Linked DNA regions of Oryzias latipes. The protein of the gene in region 1 purifies or fractionates together with the protein of each later gene. This does not show direct contact. Links are inferred from orthologs where the notes say so. Each region holds a gene or a part of one and is shown on either strand. Other genes may lie near its edges. The genes, in order: hdac5, F-box-like/WD repeat-containing protein TBL1X and prkd1.

Evidence for each region.
Region 2: the proteins of hdac5 (region 1) and F-box-like/WD repeat-containing protein TBL1X purify together in Homo sapiens (affinity purification with mass spectrometry; 3 studies listed by BioGRID and IntAct, with this or other methods). This does not show direct contact. The link is inferred for Oryzias latipes from reciprocal best matches to the Homo sapiens genes HDAC5 and TBL1X.
Region 3: the proteins of hdac5 (region 1) and prkd1 purify together in Homo sapiens (affinity purification with western blotting; 4 studies listed by BioGRID, with this or other methods). This does not show direct contact. The link is inferred for Oryzias latipes from reciprocal best matches to the Homo sapiens genes HDAC5 and PRKD1.

What each region holds. Positions count from the first base shown.
Region 1 is NC_019866.2:23,880,687-23,885,511, reverse strand, and holds the start of hdac5 (histone deacetylase 5), read right to left. Parts: upstream 3,004-4,825; 5' UTR 1,858-3,003; coding exon 1,743-1,857; intron 1-1,742. UniProt on the Homo sapiens protein: Responsible for the deacetylation of lysine residues on the N-terminal part of the core histones (H2A, H2B, H3 and H4).
Region 2 is NC_019879.2:24,117,300-24,122,124, forward strand, and holds the end of F-box-like/WD repeat-containing protein TBL1X, read right to left. Parts: intron 4,530-4,825; coding exon 4,408-4,529; intron 4,276-4,407; coding exon 4,201-4,275; intron 4,127-4,200; coding exon 3,999-4,126; intron 2,615-3,998; coding exon 2,449-2,614; intron 2,370-2,448; coding exon 2,268-2,369; intron 2,162-2,267; coding exon 2,135-2,161; 3' UTR 155-2,134; downstream 1-154. UniProt on the Homo sapiens protein: F-box-like protein involved in the recruitment of the ubiquitin/19S proteasome complex to nuclear receptor-regulated transcription units. Plays an essential role in transcription activation mediated by nuclear receptors.
Region 3 is NC_019880.2:2,744,754-2,749,478, reverse strand, and holds part of prkd1 (serine/threonine-protein kinase D1), read right to left. Parts: intron 3,837-4,725; coding exon 3,738-3,836; intron 2,614-3,737; coding exon 2,453-2,613; intron 2,340-2,452; coding exon 2,233-2,339; intron 449-2,232; coding exon 363-448; intron 1-362.

The DNA.
Region 1 (4,825 bases):
CCATTTTTGTAGAGAAATCAAAAAGAGGTTTCTCATAACTAGTGATGTAAAGCAAATTAAGGATTTACTTTATCTGATCAAATTGTTTTCTACCCAAACTAACTATGGATTTAAAGAACTAATAAGAAATAAATATCAAATTTAACAAAAGAATGGAATCTGTAATGCAGCTTTTGATTTTTCTATTTCATTTTTCAGAATTAAAGTCTTCATCAAGTGTCTGATGGACCAATAATGTATGTGCCGACCAGACCCCTCCGAGCAGCAGCTCCTCTGACAGAGCAGCAGTCCCGCCCCACCTGTAAGACCCTCAACAATAAGGCATAAGAGGCATGAGAGCAGGATTCACCACGAAGGACGTTTGATGCAGCTGCACTTCACCCTGAAGAAGAGACTTTCCACAGCTGAGAATCCTGTTGGCCTCTGCAGGAACTTCATCCAGATCATCCACAACTGCTAATGACAAAGATGAACCTCTTCTGTCATTGCACAAGTTCAGAGACGAGTCACGGAACTGTGACTCGACCTTTGTGACCCCCGCTGGACTGATTGTGACCGTAGAAGAAGTCTGAGGGGCCTTCGACGCTCCAGAGACCCCCGCTGTCTTCGTCAGAATATCCTGCATCTCTAAATGCTTCCTGTTGTTTGTACCCTTTAAAGCTCCAGTTTTTCACAACAACTTTGAACCTTTAATCCAATGTATTTTACTGACAAACCACCAGTTAACAAGCATGGATGTTTCAAGGAGCCACACAACCAGCAGAAACACGGAAACCCAGTGAGATGCACTGCAAATGTTCCAACCTGATTCGGCTCACTGGGTATATCTAATGTAACATTTGCACAAAAGGGGGGAAAAACGCACAAAGAAAGGATGTCAACTCATCTCGTTGAGGATAAAAAAAACCTGCAGAGGTGCTGATGGTGCAGTGGGAGGAGCCACAGACCACCAGTTGATACCAACAGGCGGTTCCCAACATGCAAACCACCATTTGAGTTTTCTAGGAACCAATCAGAGATCCAAACACAAAGGAATAACAACCCGGTCCCTTTCCAGACCCAAGACACACACAGAGACCGTGACGCCAAACGCTACTGCACAAAAGAAAACTAGTGAAGTGAAGAAGACCCTGTCCTCATCAACACAGCGGAGGAAGCACCAAGCTTTGGCGTGGATCAGGGTTTACCAGCCCTGTCAGCCGCCACGTTTGTTTTGCATCTTCAGGCTCACCTGATCAGGTGAGCCTGAAGATGCAAAACAAACGTGGCGGTGGCCGACGAGGAAGAGGGTCGGTGACTCCTGGCATGGAGCATCAGACTGAATCTGACCTTCCTCCCTTCCTGATTTCATACTTTCCCTTTCCTTTCCAGAAGATCAAACAGATCCAGATCGAACCCCGCCTCCCCCCACTGTTGTTTACAAACAAACAGCCGGTCGGTCTGTTGTCTGATTTCAAACTCCTCCCCACACTGACATGCTGGTGCATCCAAAAACATGCTGCATTCCTGCAGACTCCACCACCTGAAGCTGGTTCTCCGCCCCACCGACCAGCAGCCCTGACCTCCATCTGCAGCTGCAGCCTCCCTCATGAGTCCCGCTCACTTCAACCAGAAACTTTCCCTGCACTCCAGCGCCAGCCCGTCCTCCATGGACACAAAGAAAAAGGGTTTCTTCTCTTACAGACAGCCTAAATTATTTATTAACACCCCCTCCCCTCCTCGCTTCCCCACAGATGACTCACCAGCGATGGGCATGGCTGCGCTGGAGCCCTGTTTGCCACTCAGGAGCTGCAGAGGCTGCTGGCGGCCGTCTGCAGAGGAAAAGCAAGAATCCGTCTCATAGATGGTCTGCAACATGGCGCACAGTCCTGACACGGGCGGCTGCAGCCGCGTGCCAGGACAAGAGCCGCTGCTACAGTTCAGGAAGCACCCCTTCACAGAGACCCCATCACGCCGACTTGGGACTGAGCAGCCTGCAACGCTGTGACAGCTCCCAAGCCGCAGGCTCTGGCGCCGGTCACCATCACCTGAGACAAATCCTCCTATCCCGCGCTTCCAGGAAGTCCTCTCTGAGGTAAGAGCATGGATCACCCTGATCCTGGCACAAATCTGGCTCCTGAGAGGCGGACCTGCAGCGGTGCGTTCAGGAAGCCGCTTCAGCCGCAGGAGGAAAGTTGCAGTTCCACAAACAAGCAAAAAAAATTCCCAACCGGCAGCAGCAAAGACGGACTCTCTGCCGCGCGACCAAGAAACGGAGCTAGAGAGTCCTGTTCTCCCGAAAAACAAGGGGGAGAGGAGGAGAAGGGGGAGAGGAGGAGGAGGAGCAAGGACGAAAATAGCTTTGGGAGAGCGCTCTCCGAGGTTCCATGTTTCCAAAATTAGAACAAAGAGCTGGGAGAATGACAGGAGAGGGAGACGAGTGGGACTTCAGCAACAGCCCTCCATCCTCCAGCCGCCGCTCCGACAGAGAAGCTCCGACTGCAACCAGGAGCTGCGGGCGGTTCAGCACCACCCTCACTGACGGGGGGGGGGAGCTGAATGAAGCACAGGGAGGGAGGGAGGAGGGACGCCGACAACAAACCTTCTGATTTCAGAGTGTCAGAAGACGTACTCTTTTACTTCTTGGCTGCTGTGGCATTGTGGGGATGCGGGGGTTGAATTTTAAAATAGCTCGTTAGTGAGGGGGAGGAGCCAAAGACAAAAATAGACCAGGGAAGAGAGAGAGAGAGAGACACAGCGAGCACACAAAAACCCTGCAGCGCTGGGGTGTGACTGAGACGTGGGGGCGGAGGGTTTTCTGCCCCGCATCTCTACAAGATCCTCTACCAATCCAAGCGGAGTGGGCGGGGCTCCACGAATGCCATGGGTCTGCCGAGACTCACCAGAACAAACACTAACATACACACCTGGTCCAATCAAAACCCGGAAGACAGGGTCTGGAGGAGCAGGGCTGACAGATGTTCCACGGGGAGGGTTTGACGCAGAACCAAGGAGAACCGACACTTCTGAACCTCCCTGAGAAGACGACCGTCAAACATCCAACAACTTCAAGTCCAGACTGTCAGAACCACATCCAGAATTCAGTTTACCTGATGGTCAAACATGTCATCGTCTCAAACACACACAGCATTAAGCCCATGTTTTTAACGTCTTCTTGTGGCATTTTCCTGATGATGTAGAAACATTCTGGTTTCGAGTTTTTCTTTATTCAAATCATTGTGAGCAGAATAAGAAAAGGCTGTTGGAAACCATAAGCTCCCTGCTCCGCTCCATTCTGATGCATCCGCCTGCAGACAAACAGATCCATGAACGTGTTTGTTTTTCCTCGTCTGAGCTGGAATCTGGATCAGAACTGGACGCTCCACGACTCAGAGGTGAATTTCTGTTAAACTCCTGCGGCTCTGCACAAACTATGTCCTAAAAACCCAAAACAAAAACTGTTTTTTTTTTTTTTATTTTGGCTAAATACATCATCATCATAATTTAAAAAAAACAAACACTTTGAAAAACAGATCAAAAGCTGATCAGAGTGAGACTTTAAAACAGTGTCCCACACGTCAAACAGGTGTGCATGCATGCATTTGTGTGCGTTCGGGTCGAGTTGTCACAGACCCGGGTGTGTCTTGGGGGGAAGCATTGAGCTGCAGTCACGGCCGAAAACGAAAACCAGATTTTTAATAATCTAACCAAGGATTTGAACCTACAACCTCCCAGTCTGAAGGTGGAGACACAAAGCAACCGCTCTGATGTATATGTGTGTGTTTTTGTGTAGGCATGCATGCATGCATGCATGCGTGTGTGTGTGTGTGTGTGTGTGTGTGTGTGTGTGTGTACTGCAGCGGATGACTCATCTCTGCATTTCTATTCCAGACGCATCCACCCCTGGAGTTACACTGCTGCGTTTGTGTACTATAACTGTAACCATGACAACCGCATTATAGACTGTCAGCTAGTCAGTGGGACGAAGATCTGAAGGACCTCCAGCTGCATGAAGCTTTGAGAGACCTTCTAATTCTCCATTTCATTAAAAACTGATTTTACTTGGCTAGAATTACCCTTCCAGTCATTTTCCTGCAGATTTTCAGATTCCTTACTTTCCAGGACACCAGCAGGTGTCACAAGCATCATCCTACTCCACTCTTAAAACTGCTGCTACGTCTGAATGCAGTAAAAATCCACACACCTCCTCTTCCTCTGACCTCCTCTTCCTCTCTCTGGAAAACGTCCCGGTCAAAGGAGAGGAGGCGGCACAGAATCTAAAAAAGCCGTCTGACTGCTCACAGCTGCAAACAGGAGCTCCAGGCAGATCCTGCAGATGCGTCACTTTGTGGTTGAGGGAATGTTTTGTCGCGGTTCTTTGTGTACCAGATCTGATAAAGTTTGATTCAAAAATAACTCACGTTTGCAGGTGTTCTTTGAGCATAGATTTACCATGAGCGTGCACGCTACAGACATTTACCTGCAGTCACGTGCTTTGTGCATTGGGTCCACTGATCCAACCCAAACAGAAGAGAAATACGGATCCACAACTTTCATTCTTAAATATAAAGCCAACCAGGAAGTGGCAAAGGCTGCAGCTCCGCAAATGACCACCGGAGGCTGGTTTCAAAAGGAAGCACTTAGTGACTCCCATGTTAAAAGGACCAACTTTACACCATAAAATAAACATCTATGCAGTCTTTTTTTGTTCTATTTTGCTTTTATTAACTCAACTAAACTCACTTTACTTTGCCTCACCCAACTGCCAATTTTTTAGGGCGCTGAAGTTGACAGAATAGACTCCAGTCAAAATGCCAAACGTGCTTGGAGCTTTGTTTTGGCTGGT
Region 2 (4,825 bases), on another chromosome or scaffold:
TGTAAACACTAGTTTTGTTTGTTGAACTGAGGTGATGTTTTTGTCCCATCTTGTATTCTTGTATTAAACCTTTTGTGTCAAAATAAAAGCCTTGTAAATTTGCTGTTGAGTGCAAAAATAATAATCCAGAAATCAAAAGGCAGCAGCTCTCTGATATAAAAATAGAGTCATTTATTTGAGACACTGAATGACTTCAAAGTTTTGCCTGGAAACAGGTGACAGCGGGGGCGGGTGTCACTGCCACAGCACCCGTCCCATAACCGGGCTTCTCCGCTCGCTGGGAAAGTCCCACCGACCCGCAGCCCAATTATCAGTCTGACACAGACAATAAAGGCCTTCAGCAAATGAAAAATACAAAATGTGAGAAATCGATGAACACCAATTAGAACGCCATCATTTGAGATGGAGAGGAGGGGCGGGGCGGGGGGAAAAAAGGCAAAGTTTAAACATTGGACCTTCACTTTCATTGAAAATTTGCAGCATCCACTAATACAAAAAGTGCACTTCATGTTGCTCTGGCAGAAGATGAGGGACCTAGAAAAAGGCAAATGAAGTGGAGGTGGTTTATAGTGTCTGCAGAGCTGCACCCGCAGGCCTGAGCTGCGAAGCCGAGTCTGCGCAGACGCTTTCCTCTGGAGCTTCAGTGGAGGCCGTTCTTTTGTTTACAATCATGAATCCTGAGCTGCGTTTCTCTAACTACATGTTGGGGCTGCTGCAGCTGCAGAATGTGGACGCCGTTGAAGTGAAGATTTGAAGACGAAGTTTTCCTCATCATCCTGATGCTCAGAGGACAGGAAGACGGCTTAGACTGGCGGTGATGGAACATCAGGCTTGAACCTGAGGTCTTCTGGCTTCGCAGTTCAGGCCTTCCGATCAGCTAAAACCCATAAAGTCAACTTTTATCTTTTTTTTTTTTTTTTGCATAAACGCCACTTTCTGGCTGCGATGGAATCTAACAGCTCAGCAGCCTGACGAGGAAAAAGTGCCAAACAGGAAACACAGTGATGCAGATTAAGCTGCAAGAACTCTCTGGGGGTTGGGGGTTTGATCGCTCCGCGGTGTTCCGTCTGCACACAAACTTTAAAGCCATTAAAAGTTTTAAAAAAACATCATCTCCTGCACCGTTTACGCCATGGATGCAGGTGTTGTGTGGGCCGACTGCATGATACCATTTCTAACTGATTCTACAGAAAACGTAACAGCTGATAGGATGGCAGAGTTCAGAAAGACTGCACTGACAGAAACTGAGACATGCACTTTGATAAAAAAAAGATGCGACAGCTTCAGCCGTAAAGACCCCCTATAGATGGCAATAAAGTGTACTGTATATAAACATATATATACACAGTATATAAGTCTGTGTATTAATCTAATTTACATTTTTTTCTTTACATTCTTGAAATTTACATCCAAAAAAAAGGGAGTTAGACTCTTTAAGCCACACTGTTCACACCTTTTCCACGTCTTTTTTTTTTTCCATCTCAGGTCACATGATGAAGCTAAGAACCACCAGGCAGCGGCGACATTCAAGAACATCCCAAAACACCGGCAGCAGCCATTCTGATGACGGACTCCTCCACGCAGGAGTCGTCGAGCACCTCGTCAGGGGACAGCAGCGCCGCCTGGGAGCCGGGCGTCAGCCACGCCCACCCCGTTGGTGGTTAATTCACGTCGACGTTTAAGTAACGCCTCCTCGGAGGAATCGTAAACCCCGCAGCCTTCCTTCCGCACAGTCCCGACACCTGGCTCTTGTTACCACTCCTTCCTTCAGAAAACCCGCCTCATCTTTGCGTTTCCACCCTCGCAGCTCCACAACAGCTGGACCCGCAGCGAGCGCCGCACGTCGTCATCAGGAACCTGTTAATACTCGGACGCACCCGGGGAGCCAAGGCCACTTTTTGGGGATTTCTGAGCCAGTTTCCATCTTGCCTCAGACTTATTAGAAAACAAGCGTTAACAAGCTGCATTGAACTCAGCTGCTGTTCAAGCCGCTGGCAGCATCTGGGTCTACACCTGTGAGGGTTTCATTGGAGTCCACCTTTACGGCCCTTCCAGACAAAGGAGGGGGTGTTTGTTGACGTCAGGAGAAGGCAATTTTCTGCACATTCGAGGATCCGTTTAAGTCTCAGGTCAGCTATTTTCGCAGGTCAAGAACACAAACCTGAAATTGAAAAAGATAATGGTTGCAATAACTGTATATTTTAGGCCACTGAGGCAACAAATACCCACTTAAGAGACTATAATCAGGGTCAACAGGAATGGCTTACCGAGCCGTCTGAAGCACTGGCACCCACTTTATCTCCAGTGCTGTTCCAGCACACCTCGAAGATGCCCCCGGTCCCCCTGTAGCTGTGCACCAGAGCTCCCGTCTGCAGAGGCGCAAACAAACTCCCTGAACAACCTGAAGAAGTGTCCGCTAAACGAATGAAACCACAGGGGGCCCCTTACCATGGTGTTCCAGATATGAACACACTTGTCGAAGGAGCCGCTGGCCAGGTGCTTGCCGTCGGGGCTGAACGCCACGCTGTAAACGGGCTCGCGGTGTTTGGTCAGCGTGTGGATGCACACGCCGCGCTCCACGTCCCACAGCCGCACCGTGGAGTCAAAGGACGCGCTGTGTGGGGGGAGGTGTCAATGAGATCACAGCGTCTTCCTCCTATTTCAGCCTCACTCAATAAGTTCAACCATATATTTATTGGGCTGCACGGTGGCACAGTGGGTTAGCACTCTTGCCTCACCCCCCGTGAATGCGTGGGTTCTCTCCGGGGTCTTCCTCCCACCATCCAAAAACATGCTTCATAGGTTAATTGGTTACTGTAAATTGCGAGTGTGCATGCGCGTGTGATTTGTGTGACCCTGCGACAGACTGGCAACCTGTCCAGGGTGTCCCCTGCCTTCGCCCAAAAGTGGCTGGGATAGGCTCCAGCAGCCCCGTGACCCCAAAAGGGATAAAACAGCAGAAGATGAATGAATGAATGATATATTTAACTTCTGTGTTGAAGCTCTTTCAGTACAGGGCAGGGCAGTTCACTCTGTGACCACTAGGGGGCTTGATCTGCACATTTACAATCAACTTTTGTTCCAGTGAGAAACAAAAGCAAACAATGTTTAAGAACAGGTTTGAAAATTGTTTTCCACCCTTTGTGAAAAATCTTGTATCCATGACAACAGCACAATGGTTGATTATTTATTAACCCATTTTAGCTTTAATTGAACGATGGGTTTTGACAGACATTCTCAGCTTTCCAAACACCTTACTTTGCCTTTTTCCAGGCTTGTTTTCACCTTTTTTTCCATTTTCAACAAAAGTCTCAAGTTGGAGTACAAAGATGGCAGCAACCAAAAGGGCTGAATTTCACCACCAGTAAACCCAAACCAACCAAAAAGTCACATGACCACACCTTCTGTTCATCGTTTATAACCATAAGCTTTATCAGTAACCCTCTCTCACATTTGGAGGGGTAAAAAACTATTAGTCAGTCACCGATTCTGCCAAAAATAACCCTATTTAAAGATGAGAGGTCTGTAATATTTCATCAAAAAAAAGAATCCAGGAACTCTCTTTGTAATTTTGAAGACTTTAAAGTTCTTCTTCAGAACAGTTTCTTCACCACTAAGAAATAAAATGGGTTCAAAATCTCAGCGGAACAACAAATCAAAGCTAAAAGGAAAAAGCTCTACTTTGGAAAAGCCCTCACTGAAGGAATTCTAGAAGCGTTTCAACACATTGTTGATTTCTGCTCGAGCAAAGACACTTTTCCCTCCGCATGAAATGCAGTCAGGCATGCTGGGTTGTTGGGATGGGCGGTAAAACCTTATGGCATTTGCATTGGATCGCTGACATGTGTGAGCACATCTGGGTCAAGATGCGGGCCAAGCAGTAAATCTGGGGTTTCAGTCCAAACACATTAACATGCGCCTCAGCACAGTCTGCTCCGACAGCAGAACCCAGACTACCAAAAGCTGAGTAACTCTGCATTACAGGTCAGGTTTCCTACCTGGCGAGCATGATGTTGGAGTTGGGATTATTTGTGCTGGGCCCTGTGGGACTCCACTTAATAGTGTAGATTTCTTTACTGTGAGCCTGGAGGTCGTGGACGCAGGAATCCTGTTTCATGCTCCAAATCTGCGTGCGACATTATGAAAATAAGCCGCCGTATTCAACTTTCAGCGCCTCACATCCGTGTGGACCCCTCTCACCTTTAAGGTCATGTCGTCTGAGCAGGAGGCCAGCAGCATACCCGATGGATCCCACTTGATGGCGTTGACTTCATTCTGAAAAACGCGGCGGCACTGGTTAGGTGAGGGGCTGCGGCAGCCTGGACTGAAACGAGGTCAGGGTGTGTGTGTGTGTGTGTGTGTGTGGGGGGGGGGGGGGGGGGGGGGGGGGGCGGAGGACGCGCTCACCGTGTGGCCCTGGAAGGTCTTGAGGGGCCGGTCGCTGCCCAGGCGGCACACGTGGATGCACATGTCTGTGCTGCAGGAGGCAAAGGTGGTGTTGTTCTGCCAGTCCACATCCAGCGCCGGAGCTGCGGAAGCATTCACACGCCGTCAGGACTCACGACAACACCCAACTAAACAAAGGCTTTTATTCTGGTAAATGATGCTAACAGGAAATAGACTGAAAGCAGAGCAGAGGCTAAAACTTTACTCCTTTAGATGAGTTTTTCCAGCTTGGTTTTTAAGGTTTTAATAAGGAGCCACTGTTTCAGACTCAGGCCGACTCATTCAAGAAATATTAAGTCTCATATTCTTAGAAAACTCTCATATTAGCTTTTGAGAAACCTTCTATTTCTAAATTACACCAGGAACCAAAGCAGAGAAA
Region 3 (4,725 bases), on another chromosome or scaffold:
TCTGGAGTCAAATGGCCTCCACAGTCACCAGATCTCCACCCAACAGATCACCTTTGGGATGTGGTGGAACGGGAGATAGGCATCATGGATGTGCAGCCAACAAATCTGCAACAACTGTGTGATGCTGTCATGTCAGTATGGACCAAATCTCTAGGGAATGTATCCAGTACCTTGTTGAATTGATGCCACCAATGATTAAGGCAGTTCTTAAAAAGAGGGTCCAACCTGATACTAGCAAGGTGGACCTACTAAAGAGGACGGGGCGTAAATACTTATAGGACAGTAGAGTTGAAGCCTTGTTGGAGATTTGCATGTCAACAAACTTAATAAAAACAATCAAAGCTCCAAGATGAAAGTCTGACCTGTAACCAGGGGTGACTGAGGGTCTTGTCGACGCTGTACCTCTTCCTCATCTTCACTTGCAGAAGGTTGTTGATCAGATCAATTGCTGCATGAAAAATAAAAAAAACAAACTATGAAAATTATATGAAACCTGTTAATTTCTTACAGCTATTGCCTTCATCTCATTTGCATTTGGGTGCTCCCTTGAAGGGGCGCCACAGCGAATCATTCGCCTCCATCACCTTGCTTCGTCGTCGTGTATGTAAACCCCTAGTCACAACTGTCCTTACCGATGGATACGGTGCTGGAGCAAACCTGTTCGGGTTACGCAGGTGTCCCTTATGAAATATCAAATTCTTAAACGGATCAGTGAGCCCATAGAGAGAAGGCGACAGGTCGTTGCAAACACTAACACAACATGTAAGGCTAAATAAGGGTGAAGTAGGTGACACGCCAGCGTTAGACATTAGACAATCAGATTGTAGTTTATGTGGACATCCTACAGGCATCCTACGATCACTTGCATATCATGTGCACACCCTATGTGTTACTGACAGCTAGAATGTAGCATAAGAACACGACAGCACCACCTGTACATCAATCCCCTATCCTAACAAATACTTGTCGATACATACACTTGACTGTGGTACGTTCCATTTTCATGACGTTCTTTGAGGTGGCCGTACGAGCCTCAAGGAAACTGAAGACACACCTGCGCTTCCTTCAAGACGCAGATGCTCCTCTCTACTAACGTCCATGGACCTAGACAACCCAAAAACCGGCACTGCCCATACAGCTTAAATAAAGTAGGTACCATAACTCATCTGGGCGCCAATTCCTCAAGGGTCCCTCTGAATGCAAACGATCTCTTCCAGATTGAGGAGTAAACTACTGACTGATGCTTCTCCATCCTTTGTTGTGTTCATTTGACTTCAAAAGTATTTGACCTGAATACAGGACAAATCTCTGTACCACCAGTCAGGTTCCTTGCTTTCCAGCCTTCTCTGATTTGACCCAATGGCAAAGTTGGAACATATCAGAGGATCAAACATCTGGCTATCCTCATGGTACTTTGATCCGAACCTGGAGCTTCTTCTTCTTGCAAAGAATGTTGTTCAACCTCTCAAAGCTAGCATGGACTGCCTTCAGCAGTGGATCACAAAGAGGTACAGATCTGCCAGTTTATGAGTGATGAAGATGTTTTTTCAGGTTTTTGTGACTGGTTGTGGTTTTTGTAAACGTTCTGTCCTAATTCTCACATTTATAATCTCTTTTTATGCAGAGTACACATAAATCCAACAAAGTTGAGCATATTTGCTCAGTTGAAATATATTTTCTTCAGATAAAAAAAAAAGTTCTTCAACATGACATTACATAAAAGTCCTTTTTTCAAAACTTCAAGCTCTGCTTTTTATCTCCACTGACAAATTGGAATCATGTTGGCTTGTGGGCAGAGGACGCTCCTTTAAAAGCCGGATATTTGCAAATGGAGATCTCTCCACACGCTGAGGGTTTATTCTCTGGCATTTAGCTTCCCCGTGGCAAAGCGAGTCCTCGCATTTATTTTTTAAACAGCAGCTCAACTCACTTCAAGCAAATGAGGAGGTGGATGGAAAAGCGCTTTGGGGACGAGGCTGAGGACTGACTGAGTGAGTCAGGCTTATTATTAGTCAACGGGATGATTTTAGTCAACACACCTTGCAGACACATTTAGAGACATCAACATGAGTCACTCTGCTGCAGAGAATTGCTCTAAAGAAGCAAGGAGGGAATTCAATGGCATTTCCGGGGAACAAAAACAACCTAAAAAATGCTTAAAAAGGAACAAAAATCACAGGATTTCTTGTAGAGAAGGACTTCTCAAACCCGATTTGACACATCATTACATACCGTCCTGTGAGACTTTCTTCCAGGGATGAGGAGGATACATAAAAGCAGCATTCTGGATCTGATCATTGATGTCTTCATCCTCGTTGAAGGGGAACGTCCCACTCAGACTAACAACCAGAAATACAAACCACTTTAAAACAACCCTTATGATCAGGAAACATATCATCATGAGTGAGTTACGGAGAAACTTTTGCTGGCCCAAAGTTGTGGAATCTCTAACCTCACGTAGATGATGACTCCAACCGACCACATGTCCAGAGAACGGTTATAACCTTTGTTCCTCAGGACCTCTGGAGCCAGATACGCCGGCGTTCCGACCACAGAGCGTCTGAACGACTTCTCACCGATGATTCGAGCAAACCCGAAATCACAAAGCTTCACCTGCAGCAGAACCACAGAGAGACCACACCTCAGATGCCTTCCATCTCCAACTCTCCTAGTTTTTGGGATGAATTAATAAGTGCACTACAACTGTAAAGCAGTTTTAGACTTTCTTGCCTTGTTGCTAATGTTTTTGTCCATTTCTTGTTACTCCATTTCTCTCCCTTTCTCTAAAAGTCTTGCATTTTGCTGGGCACAGTGAAAAAATAAGAATACTGTTCTTAATCTGTCTTCCCTGGATAAATAAAGGCTCAAAAATAAAATAAAATAAAATGTTTAAACTTGGAAAACCCCAAAGCAATTTTCTTATACATTTAGACTTTTTGTTTGTTCATTTTGGGCAACAGCAATTAACTATAGCCCAAAAAACTTTTTAAAATAGAAAAACAAAATAAAGAAAGAAATTGAATAAAAATTTGAAAAAATTATAACAGCAGCCAACGCATTTAAAATTTGAAATAATATATATAGAGCAATAAAGAAATAAAATAATTATTAACAAAAAAAAATCAGCAGCCAAAAAATAGAAAAAATTAATATTAAAAATAGAAATTAATAGTATTCACAAAAAATAGCCACACCCAAAATATTTAAAAAAATCATAAAATAAAAAAAGAATATTAATAGATAAGTAATAAATATTTACAAAAAAGCAAAGCATCCATAAAACTAGAATTAACAAGATAGAAATAAAAATTCATAAATGAAAAAATAAATAAATAGCTGAGATATCGGCTAAACATGACCCAATGGCTTGTCCAGAGTTGAAATGTGGGGTTTTACACTGAAATGCAGTTTTTTACCTCCTTTACCTATCATGATCTTCAGCTTGTTCCTTCACCTGGCACACAGGTATTTAACCGATTAATTTCTCACTGAAGAACCTGTTATTACGTACATGTTTTCTAATCTGTCATTTCCATCTTAAGCCAAACTTCTGCTTAAAATGTTGCCTTTTACTTTCAAGGCAATAGTATTGAGTTCTAGTTTTATTTAATTTGTTTTGGTATTTTTCAGTTGAGCAACTTCCGACACAAATGGTCTTAAATGACGATAAATGATCCCCACCCAACACAACATCACACTCAGTTTGGCATTGACAGAAACACACAAAGACTTCACACCTGTGGGAAAGAGTCAGCTGAAGCCAGGAGGACGTTTTCAGGTTTCAGGTCACAGTGAACGATGTTCTTGAAGTGGAGATGACGCAGAGCCACCAGAATCTGACAGTGAAACAGAAAAATACACAAGCTGTGTCGATGTGCAAAAACACAACATCTCAACAAGTGTTTTGGTCAGGTTTCTAGTTTAAAGATCACGTTGGTATTGAATTGAGACTAAACTTACTTATTAGTAACTTTTTAAAAAGATGTAACGACTTCTTTTAGGACAATAAATCTTCAATATTTTAAGTCATTCCATTTTTAAAAATACTTTATTTAAAACGACAAGTTTTACGTTATTTTTAAGCAGAAGTTTTATTTCTGATGGTGACTGTCAGTCTTGATTTATGGAAACTGGAAAAGTATTTTTGACCCATAATTTACCAATAATTTTTAAAACCAATTTATCTTCAAATGTATAACTTTAATTATGTTTTTATCTTAAAACAATTGTGGTTTAAAAATAAGGCTAGTTAAATTGTTATAGCACTTAAAACAGAATATATCTGCAATTTGGGGGGGGGGGGGGATTGTAAAAATATTCATATTTTAAAAAGACTCAAGCATTTTAAGGAATCCTTATTTAAGTTATAATATTTTCAATTGACAGAGCAATACATCCAAATGTTCATCATTGATATCAAGGTTTAGTTTGGCCCTAAAAGGCCAGAACATCACAGCTTATCCAAAGAAATCTTGGAAATTTTACATGCTCTATTCGCAGTTTTGTTTCCCTTGTAACAAATTCATATTTTTTAACTTGTATTGAGAAGGACACTTTCTCCAGAGTGCTAAAGGTGACACAACCACACAGGTGTGACCCAATTTTACAGATGACTTGTTTTTACTTTCAGTCACAAATGAAGATTTAGCCAGTAAGAAGGAATAGTAGTGAATATTTGTCGTTAACAAGAGACAAAAAGCAACAATGCTGGATAGAAGCAGAGAA